6 linked regions of the Canis lupus familiaris genome follow. The protein of the gene in region 3 purifies or fractionates together with the protein of the main gene of each other region. This does not show direct contact. Links are inferred from orthologs where the notes say so. Each region holds a gene or a part of one and is shown on either strand. Other genes may lie near its edges. The genes, in order: MED25, MED24, CDK8, MED12L, MED13L and MED16.

Evidence for each region.
Region 1: the proteins of CDK8 (region 3) and MED25 purify together in Homo sapiens (affinity purification with mass spectrometry; 8 studies listed by BioGRID and IntAct, counting the BioPlex papers as one, with this or other methods). This does not show direct contact. The link is inferred for Canis lupus familiaris from reciprocal best matches to the Homo sapiens genes CDK8 and MED25.
Region 2: the proteins of CDK8 (region 3) and MED24 purify together in Homo sapiens (affinity purification with mass spectrometry; 13 studies listed by BioGRID and IntAct, counting the BioPlex papers as one, with this or other methods). This does not show direct contact. The link is inferred for Canis lupus familiaris from reciprocal best matches to the Homo sapiens genes CDK8 and MED24.
Region 4: the proteins of CDK8 (region 3) and MED12L purify together in Homo sapiens (affinity purification with mass spectrometry; 3 studies listed by BioGRID and IntAct, counting the BioPlex papers as one, with this or other methods). This does not show direct contact. The link is inferred for Canis lupus familiaris from reciprocal best matches to the Homo sapiens genes CDK8 and MED12L.
Region 5: the proteins of CDK8 (region 3) and MED13L purify together in Homo sapiens (affinity purification with mass spectrometry; 6 studies listed by BioGRID and IntAct, counting the BioPlex papers as one, with this or other methods). This does not show direct contact. The link is inferred for Canis lupus familiaris from reciprocal best matches to the Homo sapiens genes CDK8 and MED13L.
Region 6: the proteins of CDK8 (region 3) and MED16 purify together in Homo sapiens (affinity purification with mass spectrometry; 10 studies listed by BioGRID and IntAct, counting the BioPlex papers as one, with this or other methods). This does not show direct contact. The link is inferred for Canis lupus familiaris from reciprocal best matches to the Homo sapiens genes CDK8 and MED16.

What each region holds. Positions count from the first base shown.
Region 1 is NC_049222.1:107,405,568-107,409,067, forward strand, and holds part of MED25 (mediator of RNA polymerase II transcription subunit 25), read right to left. Parts: intron 2,718-3,500; coding exon 2,619-2,717; intron 2,211-2,618; coding exon 2,090-2,210; intron 1,815-2,089; coding exon 1,652-1,814; intron 1,521-1,651; coding exon 1,390-1,520; intron 1,098-1,389; coding exon 1,010-1,097; intron 918-1,009; coding exon 724-917; intron 292-723; coding exon 163-291; intron 1-162. UniProt on the Homo sapiens protein: Component of the Mediator complex, a coactivator involved in the regulated transcription of nearly all RNA polymerase II-dependent genes.
Region 2 is NC_049230.1:22,449,387-22,453,493, reverse strand, and holds the start of MED24 (mediator of RNA polymerase II transcription subunit 24), read right to left. Parts: upstream 2,801-4,107; 5' UTR 2,642-2,800; intron 2,264-2,641; 5' UTR 2,185-2,263; coding exon 2,055-2,184; intron 1,967-2,054; coding exon 1,884-1,966; intron 1-1,883. UniProt on the Homo sapiens protein: Component of the Mediator complex, a coactivator involved in the regulated transcription of nearly all RNA polymerase II-dependent genes.
Region 3 is NC_049246.1:13,239,498-13,243,559, forward strand, and holds the start of CDK8 (cyclin-dependent kinase 8), read right to left. Parts: upstream 2,801-4,062; 5' UTR 2,692-2,800; coding exon 2,564-2,691; intron 1-2,563.
Region 4 is NC_049244.1:46,222,505-46,226,658, forward strand, and holds the start of MED12L (mediator of RNA polymerase II transcription subunit 12-like protein), read left to right. Parts: upstream 1-1,354; 5' UTR 1,355-1,528; coding exon 1,529-1,627; intron 1,628-4,154. UniProt on the Homo sapiens protein: May be a component of the Mediator complex, a coactivator involved in the regulated transcription of nearly all RNA polymerase II-dependent genes.
Region 5 is NC_049247.1:13,395,099-13,399,130, forward strand, and holds the start of MED13L (mediator of RNA polymerase II transcription subunit 13-like), read right to left. Parts: upstream 2,801-4,032; 5' UTR 2,724-2,800; coding exon 2,652-2,723; intron 1-2,651. UniProt on the Homo sapiens protein: Component of the Mediator complex, a coactivator involved in the regulated transcription of nearly all RNA polymerase II-dependent genes.
Region 6 is NC_049241.1:58,250,127-58,254,101, reverse strand, and holds the start of MED16 (mediator of RNA polymerase II transcription subunit 16), read right to left. Parts: upstream 2,801-3,975; 5' UTR 2,712-2,800; intron 2,189-2,711; 5' UTR 2,142-2,188; coding exon 2,009-2,141; intron 794-2,008; coding exon 686-793; intron 364-685; coding exon 194-363; intron 1-193. UniProt on the Homo sapiens protein: Component of the Mediator complex, a coactivator involved in the regulated transcription of nearly all RNA polymerase II-dependent genes.

The sequences.
Region 1 (3,500 bases), on a different chromosome or scaffold from region 3:
TTCACTTGCAACCCAGTTCTTACTAGCTCCCTAGTTGCCAATTCAAGGATTCCTTGAGACTCTACTCAGGACCACAGGGCCAGCCACGGCCCCACAGGGACCCTGGCCTAGTCCCCAGTCCTAACAGGCCATGAGATCCATAGGAATCCTCAAGCTACTCACCTCCTGCCATTCGAGGACCCCGCTCCAGGCCAGGAGTTTGTTGGACACTGACTGCTGCCCCCCAAGGGCCGGGGCCCCCAGCTGCGCCGGGGCAGGGCCACTCACCCCACCTGGGGCCACCGTGCCCGCCTGCCAGAGGGGAGCAAGGAGGGCAATGGAGCAGGGTCAGACCATCTCCTGGGAGGGGTGACCCGAGAGAGACAGACAAGCAGGAGGAGCAGAGTACAGGCGCCTTCCTCAACACCACTCGATGGTCCCTCAGACCGTAAATGCTCTGACTTTGTAGGATCCCAGGACTCTGAAGACCTATGGATATCCTGACTCCCAGGATCCCTTGGGACACCTCTGAACAGTTCTAACCCACCAGAAGCCAAAGCCCCACTATTCCATCCTCAGACCCTCTAGTCTCAGTTGTCCATGGCACAAGCCCCAGGAACCCCTGAGGAACCAGAACAAGACTCATGTACCCTTACACCCTCCTCAGGAAGACAAATTGCTTGGCCTCTGCTCTGTTAGCAGCTGGAATGAGTAGGGCAGTGGGGCAGACATACAAACACCTACCATGGATGGGGCCCCAGGTTGTGCAGGGGGGGCCAGGCCTGGGCCAGGAGCCACAGTGGAGACCAGGCTGGGCTGGGAAGCAGGGGGTGGCTTGGGGGCGCCAGGGGGCCCCGGGGGTAGTGGTGGGGCCGGTGCCTGGCTGAAGGGGGGACCCACTCCTGGAGCAGCTTGTTGGAGAGGGTTAATGGGTGAGACTGTGGGAAAGACCAAGAGAAGAGGTGGGGACAAATGTGCAGAGAGGTCTGGACAACCCCAGGCCACCCCAGATTCCCGCCTCAGGACTCACAGCGGGGGCCCAGCCCAGCCTTCTGGTTCTTGGCGGCTTCCACTGCATTCTGGGCAGCCACCTGAGCTGCACTCAGGTTCCCAGGGACCTGGGAGTGGAAGGCAATGAGGACCACACACCCCAGTCAAGGTGTCCCGTGGGATCATGCCACCATGCCCCCTCCCAACTAGGCACAGCTACCCCAGTTGTGACACCGCAGCAGGATGACTCCCATCACTCCACAGGGATGTGATTCCTTGGCCCCAAGAGTCCACCCATCCTAGCGTCCCAGTGGAGAGTCCTGTCACCCTACAAGCCCCAGCATCCAGCTAGGTCTCCCCAAGAGGCAAGGGATCCCACAAGGACCCAGGAACACATTCCCTTTCTGGCAACATCCATACCTGGTACTGCTGAGGGACGGGGGGCAGAGGCTGCTGGGGCGCTGCTGAGAGTGAGGCACCCGAGGGTGGAGCTGGAGGCAGGGGGACCGGCTGCTTTGGCTGCAGGGGGCCTGGGGCTGAGCCACCCCCAACTGAGAGTGAAGCATGAACAACCAAGCCCCCCATGAAGGGGTTTGAGGAAGGGGAGAAAAAACCAAGTCAGAGAGAGTTGAGGGGGCCTGGCCCTCTCCTCTTCACTCCACTGCTGGTACTCAGGCCTCACCTGGCAGCACAAGCCCCCGCACCAGCACCATGTGCCGGGGATCCTGGCTCACATCTGTTGGTGGCTGCAGCGGCTCCAGCAAGGCCGGTGGAGCTGCCTTCTCGAACAGAAGCCTCAGGGCAGGCAGCTTCCGGGGAGACACGATGGAGAAGTGGATCCCTTGCTGCAGGAGGAGAGATAAGCGGTGAGGGTGGGGCCACAGGGGCCACCCCCAGGCTACCACATCTCCTGGGCCTTAAAACAGGATTCCCATCAGGCTTTGAGACAAACAACCCTGAGACCTGTATCAGCTGCCACAGGGGATTTGGGGTTATAGTTCTTCCCAAAGGTGTTTGTTTGCAGAGCAGGCCCCAAGTCAGGAGTCCGGGCCCCAGCCCCCTCTTCCCTGAGATCTGGGAGTCGAGCCCTAGCCCCTTGCCCAGGCTCAGGAGTCCTCACCTCACCTATCTTCTGCACGAGGCTCTCTGTGGTGTACCCAGAGTATGTGGTACTCTCGACGGCAGGGAGCAGGTACGGGGGTGAGTTACAGATGAGGAGGCAGACGCGGTGTGTCTGGCCGCTGCCAGGGAGAAGGAAAGACGTGGAGCCGGTAACAACAGGGGCCCCCAGAAGGGACAGACCCAGCCCTAGCCCCAGCAGGGTGCAAGTGGTCCATCCCACAGGAAGTTGGGAGTACCAGCCCCATTTTACAGCCGAGAACACCGAGACCCCGAGAGGTTCCTGACTCCCTCTGGCTTCCCTAGCAGATAGGGGAAGCAGGCGGCAGACCCAGAGCAAGGCTCCTCTTCCCAATGAGGACACCGAGACCAGGCATTGGCCAGGGGACACCTCTTGCCGCCTGCCTAGAGCACTCAGCACTCAGCCCACCCGCCCCCCCCACCTGGTGTGAGGCGTGGGTGGAGTCCTGCGACAAACAAAGTCAGGTGGAAGGAGACACCTAGGGGCCCCACGTACTGGGCACACTCACATCTGCTCCCGCATCTTCTTGAAGTCATCGAAGAGCTGCAGGGCCGTGCTGAGGCCTTCCGCGATGAGGCTACAACTCTCACCACCCCCGCCCATGAACCTGCAAGGGGTGAGACTATCAGCCCCAGGGTTCCCCGTGGCACCCAGGGCTGCCACCTCCCAGCCCCCAGCTCACACCTGGAGAGCCTGCACCTGTGTCACCCTCCTCCCCACACTCCACTTTGCACTGGGGCATAGAGACCCTGTTGAGCTTCCTGTTCTATCCCGTGCTGACTCAGCGCCAGGCCTAGTGAATGCGGATGAGGGCTGTTTGTCTTCTCCTGATGGAGGCCCTCTGGCCAGCAGTCCTGCCAGAACACAGAACAGGGAAGAGCCCAGGACACCTGGCCTAGGATCTCATCCCGTGTCCCCATCCCTGTGCACCTTCCCTTTGGGCTGTTCCATGTTTAAAGCCAGCCTGGCCTTGGCCCACCCTCCCAGCTCAATGTGGGGGCCTCCTCCGTCCTCCCCTTGTCATGGGTTGAATTGTGCCCCGCTCCCCAAGAAATGTTGAAGTCCTAACTCCCAGTACCAGACGTGATCTTATTTGGAAACGGGATATTTACAGAGGTGAGGTGACTACAGAGGTCACAGGGTCGGCCCTAATTCAACATGACCTGTGTCCTTGTGATCAAAATCCAATGTGGACATTTGGATACAGAAGCAGACATGCTCAGAAGGAAGACAATGTAGAGACACAAGGTGAATGCCATGTGGATATTGGAGCAACACTACCACAAGCCAAGGATCATTTAGGGACATCAGAGGCTGGAAGAGACAAAGAGCCTCCCCTAGGGGTTCCAGAGGGAACATGGCCCTGCCCACACCTTGATCCTGGACTCCT
Region 2 (4,107 bases), on a different chromosome or scaffold from region 3:
TGTCTCTATGAATAAATAAATCTTTAAAAAAAAAAGTATTGCTAAGATGTTATTTGCCTTTTCTACTCTCATTCTCCCACAACTGTATGTGGAACATCCCAAAGGCTCCATGACATGTGAATCATATAATTAAATGTGTCAACAATTGGAATATCTGTGTAACCCAGTAACAGATATTTTCCACATGACCACTTCGTGATATTATAAAATCATGCATGAGTAAAAGATCTGTTCAAAATGCAAGAGAGAGACCAATGGATTTCAATGTAACAGAGTATAAAAAGTTCATTGAGTGGAGCCTGGCTCCAACTGAGCCAGAGCATGAGACTCTTGATCTCAGAGTAGTGAGTGAGTTCAAGCCCCACATTGGATGAAGAGCTTACTTAAAAAATAATTAACTTATTTTTAAGTTCATTTATGTGGTTTCACATCACCTGTTGAATTTTTGGTGTCAATGAATATCCAGTTATTTGAAAAGCTTAACATTCTCTGCCCTGGGCAGCCCTGGTGGCGCAGCGGTTTAGCACCGCCTGCAGCCGGGGTGTGATCCTGGAGACCTGAAATCGGGTCCCACGTCGGGCTCCCTGCATGGAGCTTGCTTCTCCCTCTGCTTGTGTCTCTGCCTCTCTCTCTCTCTCTGTGTCTCATGAATAAATAAATAAAATCTTAAAAAAAAAAATTCTCTGCCCTTTTCAAACTAAATGTCTGATGTGTAAGGCCAGATTTTCTTCATAAACTTCAACCAAAATAGCCTATTGCAACAATTGAATGCAGAAGCAGATATGAAAATTCAGCTGTCTTCTATTAAACCATTAAAGAGATTTGCAAAAACGTAAAACAATGACACTTTCCTCACTAGCTTTTTTGTTTTGGGAAATATGGTTTCCATTAAAATGTTATTTATATTAATGTGTAATATAACAGGCTTTATTTAACAGACTTTACTTTTTATTACTTTTAAATAAGTTCATAATTATTCTTTAAATTTCTCAGTTTTCATTTCTAAAACGGTAAATATGGATAGACGTAATACATATAAACAAAAGCTTTGTGGGAGTCTCAACAGTTTTTAAGAAAATAAAAGGGTCCTGAGACCAAAACTACTGCTCTACCCATATAAATTTTTTTCGGTTCCTAAACAACATGTGATTTTTGCCTCCCAGCCTCTAAATATGCTTTTCTTTCTGCTTAGTACACTCTCACCAATATGCCTGGCTAACTCCTATTAACAATACGATCTTGGTTTAAACATCACTTTCTCCAGAAAGCCTTTCCTGATTGCCTAGCTGAATTCCATGCCTCTCGCACATACTCCCCTAGTACTGTCTTAACCTTCGTCATAAACCCATCCTGTGGGATCCCTGGGTGGCGCAGCGGTTTGGCGCCTGCCTTTGGCCCAGGGCGCGATCCTGGAGACCCGGGATCGAATCCCACATCAGGCTCCCGGTGCATGGAGCCTGCTTCTCCCTCTGCCTGTGTCTCTGCCTCTCTCTCTCTCTGTGACTATCATAAATAAATAAAAAAAAAAATTTAAAAAATAATAATAATAATAAATAAATAAATAAATAAATAAACCCATCCTGTGACTGCTTATGTCTGTTATTACTCACTAAATTCCTTGTGTGTACTGGGATCAGGTCTTGTTCACAGCTATATCCCCAGGGCCTATACCACTATCTGACACACTTATGAATATTTATTGATAGAATAAATTCATGTAACATTCATCACAACCAATGAAGTATTATTATTTTCACAAGAAAACTGAGGCTCAGAGAAGTGTTGTGTTGAAACAAATCCACCTAGAAAGCGAGAGCTGACGATTGTACTCCAAGTCTTTTACCTTCAAATCCTCACTCTCTGGAATAGGTGGGGCAGTTTACCTGGGAACTAATGGCATACTTCAGGTAGGACAGGATGAGAGGATTGGGGGAAGGTCCAATCATGGCCTGCTCCAGTAGTGCTTCTGCAAGGGGAATAACAAAGCAAGACTGAGTGGTTATAATTTTTATGGGTTTAGCCCTCCCATCCTTCCTTCCTACTCCACTTGAGACCTGCTAGGTTGAGGATGTCCCAGGTGGCTCCTTTGGGAAAGAATTTCTTCATGTTGATTGCCCACTGGTAGTCACTCCATCGCTCTTTCCAGGCTTGCAAAATGGCTTGCTTCAAGTTCACTACCTTCATGATTTCACTCGGAGAAGGGGCCGATGGCAGTCAGCTTTGAGGTGGGAGAAACTGAGCTAAGAGAAGGGGAGAGGAGATTCTGAAGGAAAGAACAGAGAAGGGCCAGGTTGAATGAAACGGATACGGGAAGATTTAAGGGAGGCAGAAGAACTACAAAGAAAAAATGGGGAAGAGGACAAGGAAGAGATTCTGTCAGGTTCCTCCCTCCTGAATCATCCTTCCTTAAACTGGAGCACTAAGAAAAGGGTGTCAAAGGGACTTAATATAAAGAGTAAAGAGGGTGGCAAGGGGTTAAGCCAATACGAATGCCTAATTACGCCCTCAGCTCTGGCTGCGTCCCTCAGCCCCTACCACCCCAAACCCACAGTTTTTCCTCCATTTCCTCCACCTCCCCCAACCTTGAAACTATAATTCCCTATTTCCTTTTCATCCACCACCTCCCCAATTTTAAGCCTACCGTACAAGCTAGTTCTACATCCTAAGTGTCGCCATCTTGGCACTTATCAAAGAGCTTAACTTCTATTGGCTGGGAGTAACAAACATGAGCCAATAAGAATGCGGCAAGAGACAGGTCACTCCACGATGTCTTCTGGGAATTGTAGTTCCTTGGCCTGGGCTAGTGAGAACCCAAGGGACTAAGCTAGTCAGCCTGCATTGTTTCTCTGCTTTGGAAAAGGACAGGCAGGAGCTGAAGCATCACAGAGACTCCGGGAGCGAAGAGGGGGAGAGCTCTCAAAAGACTGCTCGTAAACAGGCGTCGCCCAAAGACGTCACTGTTGACCAGGCATTTAAATGATATTCTGACACTCTTTCGTTATATGCTAGTAGGCACAGTAGGGGTGTGGTTTTTGTTCAGTAATACGTTTTTCTCTTCTCTGGCCTTTTTTTTTTTTAAATCAATCAATTAATTAATTAATTAGTTGGTGCTCCTACACCTCTGCATATACCAGAGTTCTCGTATTCCAAAGGCGACATTGGGGCTTGATCAGTTGCACATACATCACCATTTAACCCCCAGATTTGGCAGTCCTCCCAGAATCTCCTGGCCCCGCATACTGCTTGAATATGGGGAGAACTAAGGAGGAAAATAGGGGTAAGGTTATTAAAATTAAGGAAAGTCTAAGAAACTGTCATAGCCAAGAGAACTTAAGGAGACATAATTTTTTAAAATTTATTTATTCATGAGAGACACACACAGAGAGAGAGAGAGGCAGAGACACAAGCAGAGGGAGAACCAGGCTCCATGCAGGGAGCCCGATGTGGGACCCGATCCCGGGACTCCAGAACCCCGCCCTGGGCCAAAGGCAGACACTAAACTGCTGAGCCACCCAGGGATCCCCAAGGAGACATAATTATTAAATGTAACTTGGTATCCCTCCCAGATGTTGTCCTGGAACAGAAGAAGAACATTAGGTGAAAACTAAGAAATACGAGAAAAGCATAGATATCAGTTAATAATAACATACCAATAGTAGTTCATTCATTGTAAAAAAAATACCATACTAACATAAGAGGCTAAATAAAAGGAGAAATTGGGTATGGGGTAGATGGGGGCTCCCTACTATATCTTTTCCTGTATATCTAAACCCATTTTTATTTTTATTTATTTATTTATTTATTTTTAATTTATTTATGATAGTCACAGAGAGAGAGAGAGAGAGGCAGAGACACAGGCAGAGGGAGAAGCAGGCTCCATGCACCGGGAGCCCGATGTGGGATTCGATCCCTGGTCTCCAGGATTGCGCCCTGGGCCAAAGGCAGGTGCCAAACCGCTGCGCCACCCAGGGATCCCTAAACCCATTTTTAAAAAAGATTTTATTTATTCATTCATGAGAGACAGAGAGAGAGAGGCAGAGACACAGGCAGAGGGAGAAGCAGGCTCCATGCAGGGAGCTCGATGTGGGATTCGATCCTGGGTCTCCA
Region 3 (4,062 bases):
GTCTAAATTCTTTTACTACGTACTCATGTTCTGTGATGCTTGCTGGACAACCGAAAGGATACAACATTTACATATGTTCATTTTAATAGGCAAATATGTCTAAACAAAACCTATTTTATTGTAAATCTCAGGATTCTCTTTGAAGGTGTAATTGGGTTCCTAGAGTACTCTGAAATTTCAGTTACAGAATGTATAATTTAATTTGAAAGTAAATCAATACTAGAAACAAATTATTTCATCATCATCTTTTTACAAAAGATTAAACAGCCACAGATTTTATTTTACCAGGACTAAAATGCATTAAATTACATTTCACTGACATAAGATCAAAAGAACCTCATAAATACAATGCAGTATTTTACCAGAGGGAGGTTATAAGAAGCCAAACCAAAAATATTCCCTCTGGAAAACAAAAGCTGTCTTAAGTAATTTTAAAACTCTCTTGACATTTGATCCTTCTGTATGTTTTTAAAGTTCATCCTATAAACAAAATCATTAAAGGTTGCTGGAAAACAAGCCCAAAGAATTATAAAGTTATTTTTTTTTCCAAAATGCAATGCTACTTTTCAGCTTTCACAAATGCCTAAGAAATGTTCACATACTATATACATTTAGCTATTTTCAAATTGTATATTTCTTCTAAAACTATTCTTAGTCTAAATTAAAACCTAACCATGAGGTATAAAATGTGGTTAAAAGTACCTCTTGGCAATAAACAGTATCATAGGTTTAAAATAAAATATAAAATCAAAGTTAATAAATTTATGTATTTTATTAGCTTAAACTATTAATTTATGAAAATAAAACTGGCTTCTCTCAGAGAGATTAAAAATAATTTAAGGTCACCATAATTTTATAAAGCAGATGACAGACTAGTTAGATGTCCTACTATGTCTACTCTCATGGGATTGAGGATTTTCTGAATATGCCCCAAATTAGGTAATATTGGGGGAAAGGGATATGGTTTAAGGATTTTGAAAAATATTATATGAGAAAGGTGATTTTAAAAAAATGTTATTAGAATTTTTCAATTAAAAATATAAACAACAGAGTCAACAGCAGGCATCTCCAGTCTATGATTTCTCAAATGTCACCAGATTATCTTCCACTAAGTACTTTTAAATACATGCAGCACACAGAGTATCAAGTTTTCAAATCCAGACCTTTTGCAGATATCTGTACTGCTTTAATTGCTGCATATAAGCACTGAAATGCACCATACTAAATTTATTAGAATCGCTATCTTCCTCTAAGAGTCCCTTTTAAGGTATCTTAAAAAGATATCTTAGTAAATCTAAGAAAAATGTCGAATATACACTTCCTTTTCCAATATCCAGAATATTAAAGTATTTATAAATATGGCTCCCCCCAACTTACTTCAGCTTTATGAATGGTTTCATTTTTCTAGCGCTAATATAGTTCTGAACATACCCTCCTACCTAATTTGGGGAGGGGGGGGAAAAAGCAATCATTTTAAATGGTGAAAGGTAGCTAGCAAATTAACAGTGATATTCAAATAAACCTACTTTGTTTACACTGAAATCTAAAGATTATATAATAAGCTCTGACATTATCTTTCCAGCAATTTTCCGCACGGTCTAAGGCGATAGAGACAACATACGTTTTTACAAGAGGAAAACAAGGAGTTAATAAAATATATTTTCCCCTCAACTAAGAATTGCCTTCTCTTTTGTCAATATTACACGACATTCATCTACTGACAAAGGAAAAATGAACACTTCACTTGCCTGTTTAAGAAACTAAATTGAGAGCATTACCAGTCGTAGACTTAATTAAGTTATTTCTAGGGGAAAATATTTAAAGCAAAGGGACTATTTACAGTTCATTGCCGACTGCTACATTTTGGGGGAACAGGCCTGAACAAGATAGTCCCCTATTTGTCCCTTGCCTTTTTTTCCCCACCACCCACCCTGCACCAAACCCCCATTGTTCTATGTAAAACTCAGGTTAATGATCTCTAAATAGCAACTGCTACGTTTATATCCGATTATCACTACGAAGAACTCTGCAGCATCACCTTTACCTGCTGCTTTCTCCCCCCCCCCCCCAAATAAAATCCAAATTTGGTAATAAATCAATCACACCCCGGTGGGGGGCAAGGATCGCAGCTTCCCTTCCAGACTGACGGATCTCACTCCAGAGGCGTGAGGAAATCCCCCAGAAGGTCACCATAATAAATCGAGGCATCCCCCCCCCCACCCACGACGAAAATCATTTAAGCTGACGTTTTACTACAATTCTTTAAAAATCTAGAACCGAAATCCTTGAAAAGTGTACAGCCCCTGGAGTAGATGCTGCTTCTCCCTATTAGCCAGCAAAGTAGAAGACGAAGGCGGCGGCGGCAGGCAGGGCTTCGCGTGGGCTTGGATCCCTCGTACGGCACTTCCTCCCCAAACCTGGCTGGCAGGACCCGATGCTGGTGCCGAGGAAGTGGGAGACCGGCACGCCGGCGCCCCAGCACCCCCCCCCCGCCCCGGGCTACCTGCCTCGGCCTGCGGGAGCGCCGCCCAGCGCGGACACCGGCACCGACACAAACACTCACCCATCTTTCCTCTTGGCTTTGTAGACGTGACCGTAAGTGCCGCGGCCAACTTTGCAGCCCTCGTATTCAAACAGGTCCTCGACCCGCTCCCGCTCGCTGCTCAGCTTCACTTTAAAGTCATAGTCCATTGTCACAGCCTCCGGGGCCGGGGAGCTGGGTCGGGGGGCCGGGGCGCAGGGGTGGGGACCGGGGAGGCACCGGCAGCCGCAGCCCCCGGGAACCCGCCCGCTCTACGCCCGGCGGCCGCAGCACCAGCCTGACTGATGCGGCAAGAGCAGGAGGAGGCCCCGCGAGAGCGCCGGGGACATCCAGGGGGGCGGCGGGGCAGAGGCCGGCCGGGAGGGGGGGCACGGGGAGGCTCCCCCGGGCGCGGCGGAGCGGAGGGACGAGGGCTGGGGGTGGGGAGCGGCGTCTCTGCCCTTGTCCCCGCGGGCTCCGGGGCGCCGGCTCTCCGGCTCGCTCCTGCTGCGCGTTCTGCTCCCGCGGCGGGGAGCGGCGGGGCGGCCGCGGCGGGCTCTCCTCCTCTTGCACTCGCACTCACGCCTCACCCGCTCTCACACACACGCTCACACTCACTCACTCACTCTCTCTCTCATACACTCAAACAGAAAGGCAGCGCCGCACAACAGCCGGTACCTCCTCAGAGAGAGGAGGGAGGGAGGGGACGCGCGGAACACGGCCACGGCTGTCGCAAAAACGTCGCGAAGGCTCCGGCTGCCTCCGGGCCTCCCCGCAGCCCGCTCCGCGTTGCCGGTCCGGCCCCGCTGGGGCCCGCACCTCGAGGACCGGGTGGAGGAAGCGGGGTGGCCACTGCCCAAAGCTGCCGCTGGATGAACCACGTGGATTGTCCCGACGGCGGCCAGGGCCCCAGACTACAATGCCCAGAATGCACGGGCGGCCGTCGTTGCCACCCCCTTCTAAGACTCCGCCCCACACGGTGGTAATACGGGAGCGTTGCATGATGGGATCAGTAGTCCCAGGTGAAATTAGTGGCAATCGCTTGGAGGAAAAAAAAAAAATTTTTTTTTTTTACAGCAATATCACTAGAGCGAGATTTGGGCCATAAACATAACCAGAAATTTTTTGCGAGGGAAGCTAGTTTGCATTAGAACCACATTTTGTGCCACTTCCGAACTCCAAGATATTAAAGGGCATTATCATTATCGAAAGTCTGTATGTTTGTAAACATCTCATCTCACAGACGGTTCTGTGTTCTTGTCGCTCACAATCTGATAAGGGCTGCACGATGATACCAACATGACACATATTACAAACGTCGGTAAAAGTGAGTCAATGAGCCCGAGTGGTCATAGTTTTAATCCTGTAACAGGTGACCATCTGAATGCTTCCCATCCATTCAGAGGGAACATTATTTTGAGTACAGCCTTCTGCACCACTGCCTAGAACAGCAAAGTTTAGCCATGATTACAGCAATGAATCTAAATGCATGGAAACTAAATTGTTGATCATTTTAAGTAGGAAAGGTGCCAGCTGAAGGT
Region 4 (4,154 bases), on a different chromosome or scaffold from region 3:
ACGGAGGGAGGGCCCCGAAGCGGCAGCCATCATCCCCGGGCAAGTGGCGGCGCCTCCCCCGCCGGGTCCCGGGGGCGCGGCGCTCGCGGCAGGTGGCGCGGCCTCCCGGCGCCCAGGCCCCGGGGCGGGCGGCGATGGGCTCGGCGCCCCCGGCCCCCGCGCAGGTGAGGCTCCGGCCCAGGCCGACCCGGGCGGCGGCCGCGGGGGGGGCGGGGGGGGGTCCCGCGGGCGCGCCCCCCGCGCCGAGCCCCCCCGGGACCCCCCCACCCCCGGCGCCCGGGCCCGCGGGCGGCGCGCTCTGCGGCTGCGAAAACCCGGCGCGGCGGCTCGGAGCGCGCTCGCCAGTGCCGGGCCGGCCGCCGAGTGGGCATGCTCAGTGCGGCCCCGCGCCGGCCGCCAACTCCGAGCCTCGCGCGCCCGGGCCGTGGGGGCGAGGACGCCGGCGGCGGCGAGCCGGCGTCGCCCGCCGCCCCCAGCCAGCCGCAAACTTGGCGGGGTCCCCGGAGCGCGGGCCCAGGCCTCCCCGACAGGATCCCCGCGCCCGCGCCCGCGCCCCCGCCCCCGCCCCCCGCCCCGGATCATGGAGGCTGCGGCCGCCCGGGTGCCGCCGCCGCCGCCGGCCCCTGCGCGCTAGCGGGGACCAACAGGTAAAGCGTCGGGGGGCGGCGGCGCCCAGGGGTCCGCGGGCTCCCGCCGCCGTCGGCGCGCACGGCCCTCCCCGCGCTCCCCCGGCCCCGGGCGGCGCCGCAAAGGGTTAAGGCGGCCCCGCGCCTCCGCGAGCTCGGCCCCCTGCAGCCCCGCCGCGACCGCCCGCAGCGCGCTCGCCGCCTGCCCGGAGCCGCCGCCGCCGCCGCCGCCGCCGCCTGGGGGGGGGGGACCGGAGCCGCGGAGCCCCGGAGCCTCGGAGCGCCGCGGGAGCCAGGCAGGCGTCCAGCCCCTGCGCGCCCGCATCCCCGCGGGCCTCGCTCCCTGCGCCCCGGCCCGGCCCGCGCCCAGGTGCGGGGGCTGCGGGGAGGGGTCCCCGCCGAGCGAGAGCGGCGGGGGCGGGGGCGCCCTGCCCGGGGCCCGAGGACCCCCTCACCTGCCGGCAGCGCTGGGGCCGCCCGCCTGGGCGCCCAGAAAAGTTTTTTTTCCGCGCCCCCCCCCCCCCGCTGCCCGTGCCCCTCCCCCACCCCCGTGTCCGGCTGGGGTGGGTTTGGGTCCATTGGTGCAAAAAGTCACACGTCCCCAGCAGCTGCTCCTCCCCCCGCCCCCCCCCCCCCCCGGGGACGGGAGGAGCGGCGCGTCCCGGGCCCGAAGCGCCGCCGGTGCCCGCGGGAGGCTGCGTGCGCGCCGGGCAGAGGCTGCAGCCACCCCGCTTTCTTCGTGCCCGCAGCGCCCCGGCAGCGCCCCGGCAGCGAGCGAGGAGCGGCGAGGAGCGGCGAGGAGGGGGCGCGCGAGCCTGTCTGCAAAGTGCTGCTCCCTGGTGCTCAGAGGCGGCGGCTCCAGCTCCAACTCTCATTCATTTCGCCGGTTAACATGAGAGATCATGGCCGCCTTCGGGCTCCTCAGCTATGAGCAGAGACCGCTGAAGCGCCCCCGGCTCGGGCCGCCCGACGTCTACCCGCAGGACCCGAAGCAGAAGGAGGTGAGGAGGCGCCGGCGGGGCGGCCTCCCCCGCGCCCCGGGCCGCGCTCCGCAGCGCTGAGCCGGGGCCAAGTTGGCCCAGCGGGCGGCGCGGGCGCAGCTGCGGGGCCGGGGGCGCGGGAGGGGCGGGGGGCGGGGGGGCCCCGGTCCTCGGTCCTCGGTCCTCGGTCCCCGGTCCCCGGCGGCGGCGGCGGAGACCCCCCGGCTGGCGGCCCCTGCGCGGCGCGGGGGCGCCCGCTCTCCGCGACCCGGGTCGCCCGTCCCCGGGCCTTGCGCGGCGCCGCCGGGTGCCCCGCGGGGCCCCCCTCCGCCGAGCCCCCCTCGCCCGCGCGCCCCGGCCGCCGCCGGCCGTGGTTCGGTCCCCGCTGCCCCGCTCTGTCCTCGTAAACTTTTGGGGAAATGTTGGAATGCGGTGCCTCCGACACGGGTCCCCAGGTTTTGCGCCAGCTGAGCAGCGACCGGGTGGAGGGAGGTGGAGACGGGGGTGGAGGGGGTGGGGGGTGGGGTGAGGGGAGACCTTTTCTGGTCGGATTTTCCCGTTTGCTGGGGAAGTCTTTTTTTTTTTTTTTTTTTTTTTTTATCGAGGTGATGAATATTGAGGTCTTTGCACGCACTTCTTTCTGTAGTCCCCCTTTTCCCTTTAAAAAAAAAAAAAAAGATCAGTATTAAGGGGAGCCTGATTTTCGTCCCTAGAGGCGATTGGTTTAATTGCGGGAGGCTGTTTTGTATATGTAGAAGCCGACGGGTTACCTTGGAAGGGAAATGAGTCCCGAGATGGCTTATTTCTTTGAATGAAACGGGAGAAAGCTCGACTCTCGCCTTAGGTACACTGGCTTCGGTGTCTGGAGTAACCATGGCATTTTATAGCCATTGATGTGTTTGTCAGTAGTTAAGAAGTAATTATGTAACAACTCTCCAGTTATAATGATCACCCTTGGCTACACAATTTGCCCAGGGATTTGCCTTTTCTTTTCTTTCTTTCTTTTTTTTTTTTTAAAGATCACCTGCCACCCAGCTGTGCTTTCTGACTTTGCCAGCTGCAGCCCACCCATCCTCTGTTTTCTCCAGCAAAAAAAAAAAAAAAAAAAAAAAAAAAACCCAAAAAACAAAAAAACAACACACACTAAAAACGAAGTGAGCACATTGCAGAACTTCTCTCCGGGAATCTAAAAATCCTCTGTTAAAAGTTTGGAGGCCCACTGACATCACGGAAAGGGCTTTGTGAAGAAAGAGGGAGGGGTCCTTAGGACTCCCCTTTGGATAAAGGTATTTATTTCAGTAACAGAGGAAGAATGCTTGTTCTGATTAAACTTCTGTTAATATTTCTGGAAATTAAGGAGTGGCAGTTCCTTTTAGAGGCTTAAGCACGTAAACATGTTGGAGCATCCGTGGAGTGAGGAATTCAGGTGGAAGCTGGGAAGGTTTTACAGGTGGTTCTGTTGAGGCTTCATTCACAGAAGGATGGATTGATGAGATCTTGCAGATTCCCTCTCCATCTATTTCTCTCTGGGCTGTTTCCACTCAGATTAAAGTTAATTGTTAAGGACTAGAAATAACAGTTACTGAGGACCGACCGTAACAAAGGTAGTCGCTTACAAATCAGTGTCAGGAAATTTTTAAAGTTTTGGTGGGGACAGCGATACTGATTGGCTCATCGTTCTCCTCTTGTAACGTCTTGCCATATTTTCCAGAGGGAAGTGTAATTAATAGCATCTCCCTAGTTACGGGATGGTCGTCTGGGATGCCGTGTGGACTTAATATATATAGTGTTTATTTCTCAGGTCAGCGCTCATTCGGGATTGAGGCCTCTCCAACTATGGAAAAAATTATTTTGGATTTTAGGATTTTACAACATGTTCTGGAGTTCAAAACCAGAAGTGAGCTTAGAACCTATTTTATATAACTTTCTTTTGACAAAGTGAAACTGAGGCCCCAGGAAGCTTGCTTGACTTAATCAAGGTGTGTGAAAAAGAAGCGGAGGATTCGGACCACCAAACCAGTATTTGTGTCAAGACCAATACTGTGTTAAGAATGATTCATGTTAAATTGTGTTGTTCGGATATTACCCCCTTTCCCCCAAGGCAGCCAATATTTCGTCTCTCTGGAGCAGAGCCAGAGTTGTGTGTGGCCACAGTCAAATTTGAATACAATATGGAACAGGTGCTTGGCTGTTCTTGGGTGGTGGTGTGGTGAGCCCTGTTCCACAAGCTTCAGTTATTTATGTAGGTTCCCAAGAGTTCCTTCCTATCCCTGTATCACCTGTACTTTTATTCTAATGTTTTCTTTATTTTTTTTTAAAGATTTTATTTATTCATGAGAGATACAGAGAGAGAGAGAGAGAGAGAGAGAGAGGCAGAGACCCAGGCAGAGGGAGAAGCAGGCTCCATGCGGGGAGCCCGACGTGGGACTCGATCCCGGGACTCCAGGACCACGCTGTGGGCCGAAGGCAGGCGCTAAACCGCTGAGCCACCCAGGGATCCCCATAATGTTTTCTTTAAATTAACCTTTAAGAAACTTGGTTTCCTAGG
Region 5 (4,032 bases), on a different chromosome or scaffold from region 3:
AGAAAAATACATGCTATCATTAAGCACATAAGAGTCCTTGTAATACATGCTTTATTTTAAACAGGAGATGATTTTATCTCCCTTGGAATTAACTATTCTATACAATGTACTTCAGACAACGTATTTTTAAAATTCTAGGTTCCTGCTGTATTTGCTTTTCAAGGAAACTCTTCATTTGGAATGAGCAAAAATTCACAGTATCATCAGCTTTTTAAGATTCTCAATTAAAAAAAAAAATTAGCACCTTATCCACCCTTCATACACAAAAGAATGTAGACATTCTACAGTTGTTAAATAAAAAAGAAAAGGTCAACCCATGCATTTCCTCAGCTCTTTATTTCAAAGTTGCCACCTAATAAGTAATACTATACACACACACACACACACACACACACAAACAACAACAACCCTCAATTCCTGGTTTAAAAAGGCTGAGGAGAGAAATACCCAAAGTACAAACCTTTAGTCAGTCATAAAACACAAAATCCTCTCCTATAAAATTGCTTGTTTCTCCAAAAGAATCTCAAGCATCTTATCTCTTTAACATTATCATCCTTGAGTTAAAAAAAAAAAAGATAAAAAAATGATATATCCTAAAGTCTGGCTACACGTATAATTTCATTGGTCTGCAAAATCTACTGTATATAAATTAGCCACATATACACAAGCCATTACCAGTCTGAATGATATATGGTAATTTCGGGCCTCTCTCCTCACTAATATTGGTCTACTTGGTTATTTTAATTACCTGTTAAAGTGTCAATGTGGTCACCAGCCACCAAACAAAAACCATTTTAAATACCCCTTAATCAATATGTTTGCTAATCTATTAAAGTCTCTGAATCTGACTGATACTAAATGATATACTGGGAGAGAGAAAAGAGGTGGCAAAATGAATTCTATTCCTATATGTCGAAAGATCAAGGGAAAATTATCACAGTACGAAGAGGCAGAACTGAAACTTGTAATTGAATTTTAAGACTGAATACCTAAATAAAAATGTTGGAAGAAAAAAAAAAAAAGACTGACCTGATCTATACTTTAAAGTACAGATATTATGTCACCGTCTTTTTGTAGGTAAAAATCACGTGTCTTGATGTTTTTTATCTGCATAAGGAAATATTTAATAAAATAACACTTCCATTTGAAAAGTTGGCAAGAATGTGTATTTCTCCACTAGTCTCAAAGAGAAAAAAAAAAAAGCATCTATGCCTACCCATAATTAAATGTAACTAATTACAATTTGAACACTAAATTATTTATCCAGTGTAATTGTAAACAAGGATTAAAAGGAAATGATGCTTCTATCTACTGCAGGGGTTACAGAAAACAATTTCCAAAATGCATGCTCTCCAAAGGCAGTCCCCCTCAAAAAGGGTACATGACTTAAGTTGGGTTTTTTTAAAAGCTAAATTAAACAAACCGTTCAGCCAATTTTCCAATTATATTCTACGCTTGAAACATAATTGCCTTACATCTGTTTACAAATCTTTGCTCAATATTTAAACAAATTCGTAGTCTCCCGGGCACATAGCTATACATACAGTAACTCATGCACAAAGCACATATTTAAAGACCACGCACCGCAATTATTAGCCTAAACGCCAGGTTTAACAAGGTGAATGTTTTCAGAGCTAGGTAATACGACCCAATAAAAAAGCAAAGATGGCATTTACCACCAAATGTCAGTGCCACCGCCAGGAAAGAGTTGCTGGAGCCCTATACATTTTTAATTTCGATGAATCTAGACGTCGTCGTCGGGTGCCAGGCTTCCAGGAGAACAATTGACACCCTAACTGCTTCAAGATTAAGGCAGGCGATTCAAATCCGAGGGAAAAGTTGTCAATTATCAGAGAGAGAGAGCGCGAGAAAGGCGAAGGCAGATAAAAGCGATGTTATCAAACCGCCCAGCTTGTTGCTTTTGTGTGTGTGTGTGGATTCGTTGTTAGGATAGAGAAAACAGTTTTTAAAAGACACAGGAGGAGAGAGGGAAGAAAAAGGCTCCTCCACCTTCCGTCGGCTCGGTGCAATGGCTTTCCGGCTCTCCGGCGCAGGGAGCCCCGAGAGGCAGGCGGCCGTCGCTGTTTACAATCGCAGGAGCTTCGGGTGCAAGAGTCCTTTACTGACACAATCGCATTCAATCAACTGTTTTCGGGCGAAATTGCAGGTGTCATTACGGAATTAAAAAAAAATTTTCGAAAGGCGGGCGGGCAGCCGATCCCGCAAGGGGGGCGGGCGGGGGGGGGGGGAGAAAAGGCTGCTTATCGCGGGCGCGGGCAGCACAAGGCAAAGCCTTCCACATTTAGGGGTAAAAAAGGGGGGGGGGGGGAGAGAGGGGAGGGGAAGGGGGTGTGATGGCAACAGAGGGTGGGCGTTCGAAGTGCGACCCAGAATCCGCAGCTTTGAGACTTCCACATGCAAATTCCACGCCGAGCGCCGCGCTCACAAATGATTTTTAAAGAGCCAAATAAACACTGGACGGGATCCAAGGCGAGGGAGAGACGATCCAAAAGGGGGAGAAGCGGCGGGCGGCGGGCGGCGGGGAGCGGCGAGGGAGGGGCGACGTCCCGGCGGCGGGAGGAGAAAGTTGGTCGGCGGCGCAGGTCGGGCCCCCCCGCCGCAGCCCCCCTCCCCGCCGCCCGGCTACTCACCAGCGAGAAGAGGTTGGAGTGACAATCCTCCAGGCTCGCCCCGTTCGCCACCCAGTTCGCTGCCGCAGTCATGATCCTCCGCGAGCCCGGCCGCCAGAGCGGGGCATGTCGGAGCGAGGCGTCCGAGGCGAGGCCGGGCCGGGCCGGGCGGCGGCGCCTCGCCGGGGAGCGCGGGGCGGCCGGGCCGCCGCCGCCGGGGGAGGAGGGCGCGAGGGCCGGCGGGCGGGCGGGCGGGCGGGAGGCGCCGCGGCGACGCCGCGCCGGGGGCGGCGGGCCCGGGCCGGCGGGGGGGTCCGCGGCGGCCGCGCGGCTCCTTCCTGCTCGGGCGGCGGCGGCGGCGGCTCCCGCGGCGGCTCCCGCGGCGGCTCGCGCGGCTCCGGCGGCGGCGGGGGGCGCTGTCCGCGCGGCCCGGCGCCCTCCCCGCCTCTCAGGGCCGCCGCTGCCTCCCGGCCGGCCGCCGCCTCCGCCTTCCCTGTGCCTCCGCCGCCGCCGCCGCCGCCGCCACCGCCGCCGCCGCCGCCGCCGCCGCCTTGTTTATCTCCAGCCACCGACTCCCCCCGGCCCCCGCCGGCGCGTGAGGGGAGGCGAGCCCCGGAGCCGCCGCCGCCGCCTCGGAGCCGCCGCCGCCGCGGAGCGCGAACTCGCGAAGGGGGGGGTGCGGACGAAGCCAGCGGGCGACCCCGGCAGCCGAGCGACGTCCCCTCCTTCCTCTTCCTCCCCCACCCCCCCCCTCCTCCCCAGTCAGCCTCGCTTCTCCTCCCTCCCCGGGCTCGCTCGCTCTGACAGCAATGGCGGCCGCCGACCGCGGCTCGGCCCGCCATTGGCTAGCGCCGCGTCACGTGACGGGCGCCGGCCGCGCGGGGGGGCGGGGGCGGGGGCGGGGGAGGGGCCCGGAGCTGGAGCTGCAGCCGCGGCGGCGGCGGCGGCGGCGGCGGCGGCGGCTGGAGGGCGGCTCGCGGGCGGCGCTGCTGAGCCGAGCGCGGCCGGAGCCTCCGTCCGGGGGAGGGAGGGACAGCGAGAGGGAGAGAAAGAAGCGCGGGCGGCGCGGCTCCGCTGCCGTGGGCTGCCCCCGCGTGGGCGCCGTGCCCCGCCCCCCTCGGAGGCGCGGATCGGCGGGGCGCGACCGCGGGGCCCCGGGAACGCCCGTGGTCCCCGCCGTGGGCCCCCCGGGGCGGCGCAGGCGGGGCGGCCTGGCGGGGCTCTGCGGTGGGCTCGCCTGCCGGTCCCCCGGGCTGCGGGAGTGCCTCGGCGAGGTCGCGCTCGGGCGTCCGCGTTTTGCAGATGAGAAAACTGAAGCACAAAGAGATGAAGTCGAAGAGACCGAGTCACTTGCCCGAGGTCGCCCGGCGGGGAAGAAGCGGCGGCGGAGCTCGAACCCCCG
Region 6 (3,975 bases), on a different chromosome or scaffold from region 3:
TCTGAGAACCACCGTCGTCGCACGGCGGCTCACCGAGGACACGGGTGCTCACAGTTTGACTGCAAGCAGGAGTTCGGCCCAGGACTAGAAAACCAAAGGATGCAGGTGGAGGGAGAGGAGGCGGCAGAGAGCAGGTGGACAGGCAGGTGAACGCGTCACCGACTGCACCTGCTTGCTCAGCCGGGACACCCACCTTTTCCACGTGCAGCGCCAACTTCACGCCATTGTGCAGCCAGGACAGGGCCACGATGGGGTCACCCTCCACCAGGCTGCCCACGTGGCTTTCCCAGCTGTTGGCCAGGTGGTCCGCCATGCTCCAGCACTTGATCTGCCCGTCAGCATCAGCCGACAGGAGCCGGGAGCCTGTTGGGGGCAAACCTGCGTTGCAAACCCTCCCCGTGGGCAGGGGCAGCTACTGGTAGCACGTCCGGGGCCTGGGAGAAGCAGCCTGGTGGCAGCACAGCAGGGGAGTGGCACGAGGTGCGTTCCCGAAACAAGTGTGTGCACTGGATGCGAAGAGCAGCGGCCACAGAGCCACAGGCTGAGGCTTCAAGTCCCAGAAGTGGACTCGGGGGATGTGACCAGGAAGACAGAGCATATCGTGACCCTGAGATTCAGGGTCAAGGAGGAGCATCACTGTCTCCCTCAGCCACGCAGGACGACCTGTCCCCAGGCCCCTCCTCACCTGACTGGTCCCACTCGAGGCAGGTGATAGCCTCGCTGTGCTCTGAGTTGACGGAGTGCACATCCCAGGGGTGTTCCGTGTCCAGGATGTGGATCATGCGGGTGAGGTCTGCGGAGGACAGCGCAGTCAGCACGGCAACCATAACCACCCTGGAGCTTCTGAGGACCCCAGGAGGGCTCAGAGAGGATTCCAGCGAACGATCTACCCTACGGGGATGGCAGGTAGCTGCGCTACCGCTAACCACGCAGAGAGGCTAACCACGTAGAGAGCCCTGCTGCCAACAAGGAACAGCCTTTGTGTTCCTGGGTTCCCTCTGGGGACCACAGCAGGCCTGTGACCTTGCCACTAGTGTGACCGTGTTTTTATTTTTTTTTAATTTTTATTTATTTATTTATTTTATTTATGATAGTCACAGAGAGAGAGAGAGAGAGAGAGAGAGAGAGAGAGGCAGAGACATAGGCAGAGGGAGAAATAGGCTCCATGCACCGGGAGCCCGACGTGGGATTCGATCCCGGGTCTCCAGGATCGCGCTCTGGGCCAAAGGCAGGCGCCAAACCGCTGCGCCACCCAGGGATCCCATGACCGTGTTTTTAAAAGAAACACAGAGAGGCGTGTGGTTGGTTCAGCTGGCTGAGCGTCAGCCTTCGGCTCGGATCATGATCCTGGGGTCCAGGGATGGAGCCCCACATCGAGCTCCCTGCTCAGCGAGGAACCTGTCTCTCCCCCCACACCCCCTTCTCTCTCTCGCTACCCACCTTGAATAAATAAACAAAAATCTTAAAAAAAAAAAGAAATCAGAAAACAAGAAAATGCCCCCAAATGCTAACAACGGGCATCTCTCCACGGCTCTTTTTCCTTATTCTAAATTCCTCTGCTTTCCTAGTTTCCTCCAACAGATACGTGCTACTTAAACAACACACAGAAAACAGGGCCCCACGAAGCAACTTCAAAGCTTCTTCTTTCTTTTTTTTTTTTTTTTTTAAACTTCAAAGCTTCTAAAAGCAAGATGCAAACGTACAGTCTGGGAAACTGGGGCTCAGGGCTCTCAGCCCTAGTGGACCACACACCCCAGGCCCTATTCCAACCGGAAGGGGTGATTCCGGGGTCCCACCTACTCCAGCCCCAACGCCAGGTGCAGGAGCGGTGCACCTGCCCTTTGCACGCCTGTGAGGTTAGGGTCCTCACCACCCGTCGGTTATGGATGACAAAACCCTGAGAGGGCCACATGGGTGAGGCGCAGCTCCCAGGCACGCCTGGAGACCCAGAGTCCCCCCAGCGCGGACGCTGGGGCAGGGGAGCTGGGCAGGGGGCAAGGAGGCACACCCTGGTCGTCGTTCCGCAGGTCAGTGGTGAAGGCGATGAGGTTGCGGCAGGACCAGGCACAGGCCAGGGGCACTGACGGGCAGTGGGTACTCTTGGGCCACCTCTCCCACTCGCACACGTAGGCCAGATCCATCGCGTGCCCGCAGGCCACAGGTCCCACGGCGAGGGCGGCCGGCTCTCCTGCGGGAGGGCGGGCTGGGTCACCGCGCGGTCCCCGCTGCCTGCAGGGCGCCGAGATGAACCAATCCCCGCCCCTGGGGCTCGTGGGAGGCCTCAGCGGGGGCAACACCGGCGTGCGGCTGGCAAAGGGCAGGCGCGCAGCTGCCTGGGGAGGGGCCGCCGCAGGTGGAGGGGCACAGGGGCCCACGCGGCCGGAGAGATGAGCGAGGGGGGCGGGGCGGGCGGCGGGGCCCGGAGGCCTCCACCCCAGGGGGGTCCCCAGGGGGGCGCAGGGCGGTACCCGGGCCCCTCCTGCAGCGGAGCCACAGGCGCCGAGCTCCCCGGCGGCCCCCCGCGCCGGAGGCGGGCCACGTCCTGACCCCGGGCCCGGGGCGCTACGAGTCCGCTCAGCCCCGCCGTGTCCCCCGCCGCCCGAGGCCCCGCGCCTCCGAGCCCCGACGCGGACGCCATGCCCCGCCCCCGCCGGCCCCCAGGCGCCCCGCAACCCCGAGGGCGGCCCCCCGAGCCCCAGCCCCGCGCTCACCGGGCAGGCGGCCGCGGCCCACACCCGCCCTAGCTCCGCGGCCCCGGCGCCGCCATCTTCCCCGCGACCAACGAGTCGCCCGCGCAGCGCGACCGCGCCCCAGAGACTCCTGGGAAGGCGGCGACCACCGCGCCCCGCCCCACTTCCGACTCATTTGCATACGACTCTTCATGGCGTCCCGGCAGCCACCTGAGTTCTAGTTGGTAGCACAGCGAGCACTTTCCCAACTTCAGCGAAGGATCCAATCTGGCTGCCCTACCTGCTTTGGGAGTATGGAAGAAGAGAGAGGTCGCTGACCCCGGTGTGGGGAAAAAGTTCACCCTTTGTGTAAAGTGACTTCATCTTGGGACTATAAATACTCGCTGGGCCGCTTTGGAATTCGTGCTCGCTTCGGCAGCACATATACTAAAATTGGAACGATACAGAGAAGATTAGCATGGCCCCTGCGCAAGGATGACACGCAAATTCGTGAAGCGTTCCATATTTTGCTTTTCTCCCCGGACATCCGCGTGTGGGGAAACTGAGGCTCCACACGTGGAGGCCTGACCGACCGAGCAGCGCCTGCGTCCCAACGTCCGGTGCCTGCGGCTCCACGGTGACGCCGGCCACGCGGGGTCCGCCCGTGAGTGGGCAACGCCCTACCCTTGGGGAACCCGAGTGCCCCTCCCCCCCACTCCACGGCCTCCGGGGCATCTCGTGGCCGTGCACGCTCTAGCGTGTCCGCTGGCCGCCAGGTTGGGCACAGGGGGTCCTCCAGGTGGGCTAGGCCGGGCAACCAGGTGGGTGCAAGGGGGTCCCCAGGTGGGCTCAGGCAGGACCACCAGGCGGGTGCAGGGGGGTCCCCAGGTGGGCTCAGGCAGGACCACCAGGCGGGTGCAGGGGGGTACCCCAAGTGGGCGCAGGTGGGGCTGCCAGGTGGGCGCAGGGGGTCCTCCAGGTGGGCGTAGGCTGGGCCGCCAGGTGGGTAGAGGGGGCCGCCACGTGGGTGCAGAGGGTACCCCAGGTGGGAGCAGGGGGTCCCCCAGGTGGACACAGGCAGGGCCGCCAGGTGGGCGCAGGGGGTCCTCCAGGTGGGCGTAGCCTGGGCCGCCAGGTGGGTGCAGGCAGCCGCCAGGTGGGTGCAAAGGGTCCCCCAGGTGGGCACAGGGGGTCCCCCAGGTGGGCGCAGGCCGGTCCGCAGGTGGGCGCAGGCGGGCTTAGGGGGCGCAGCCCTGATCCCTGGACAAGCCACACCAGCTCCCCTGGCGCCCGGCGGGCACTCAGA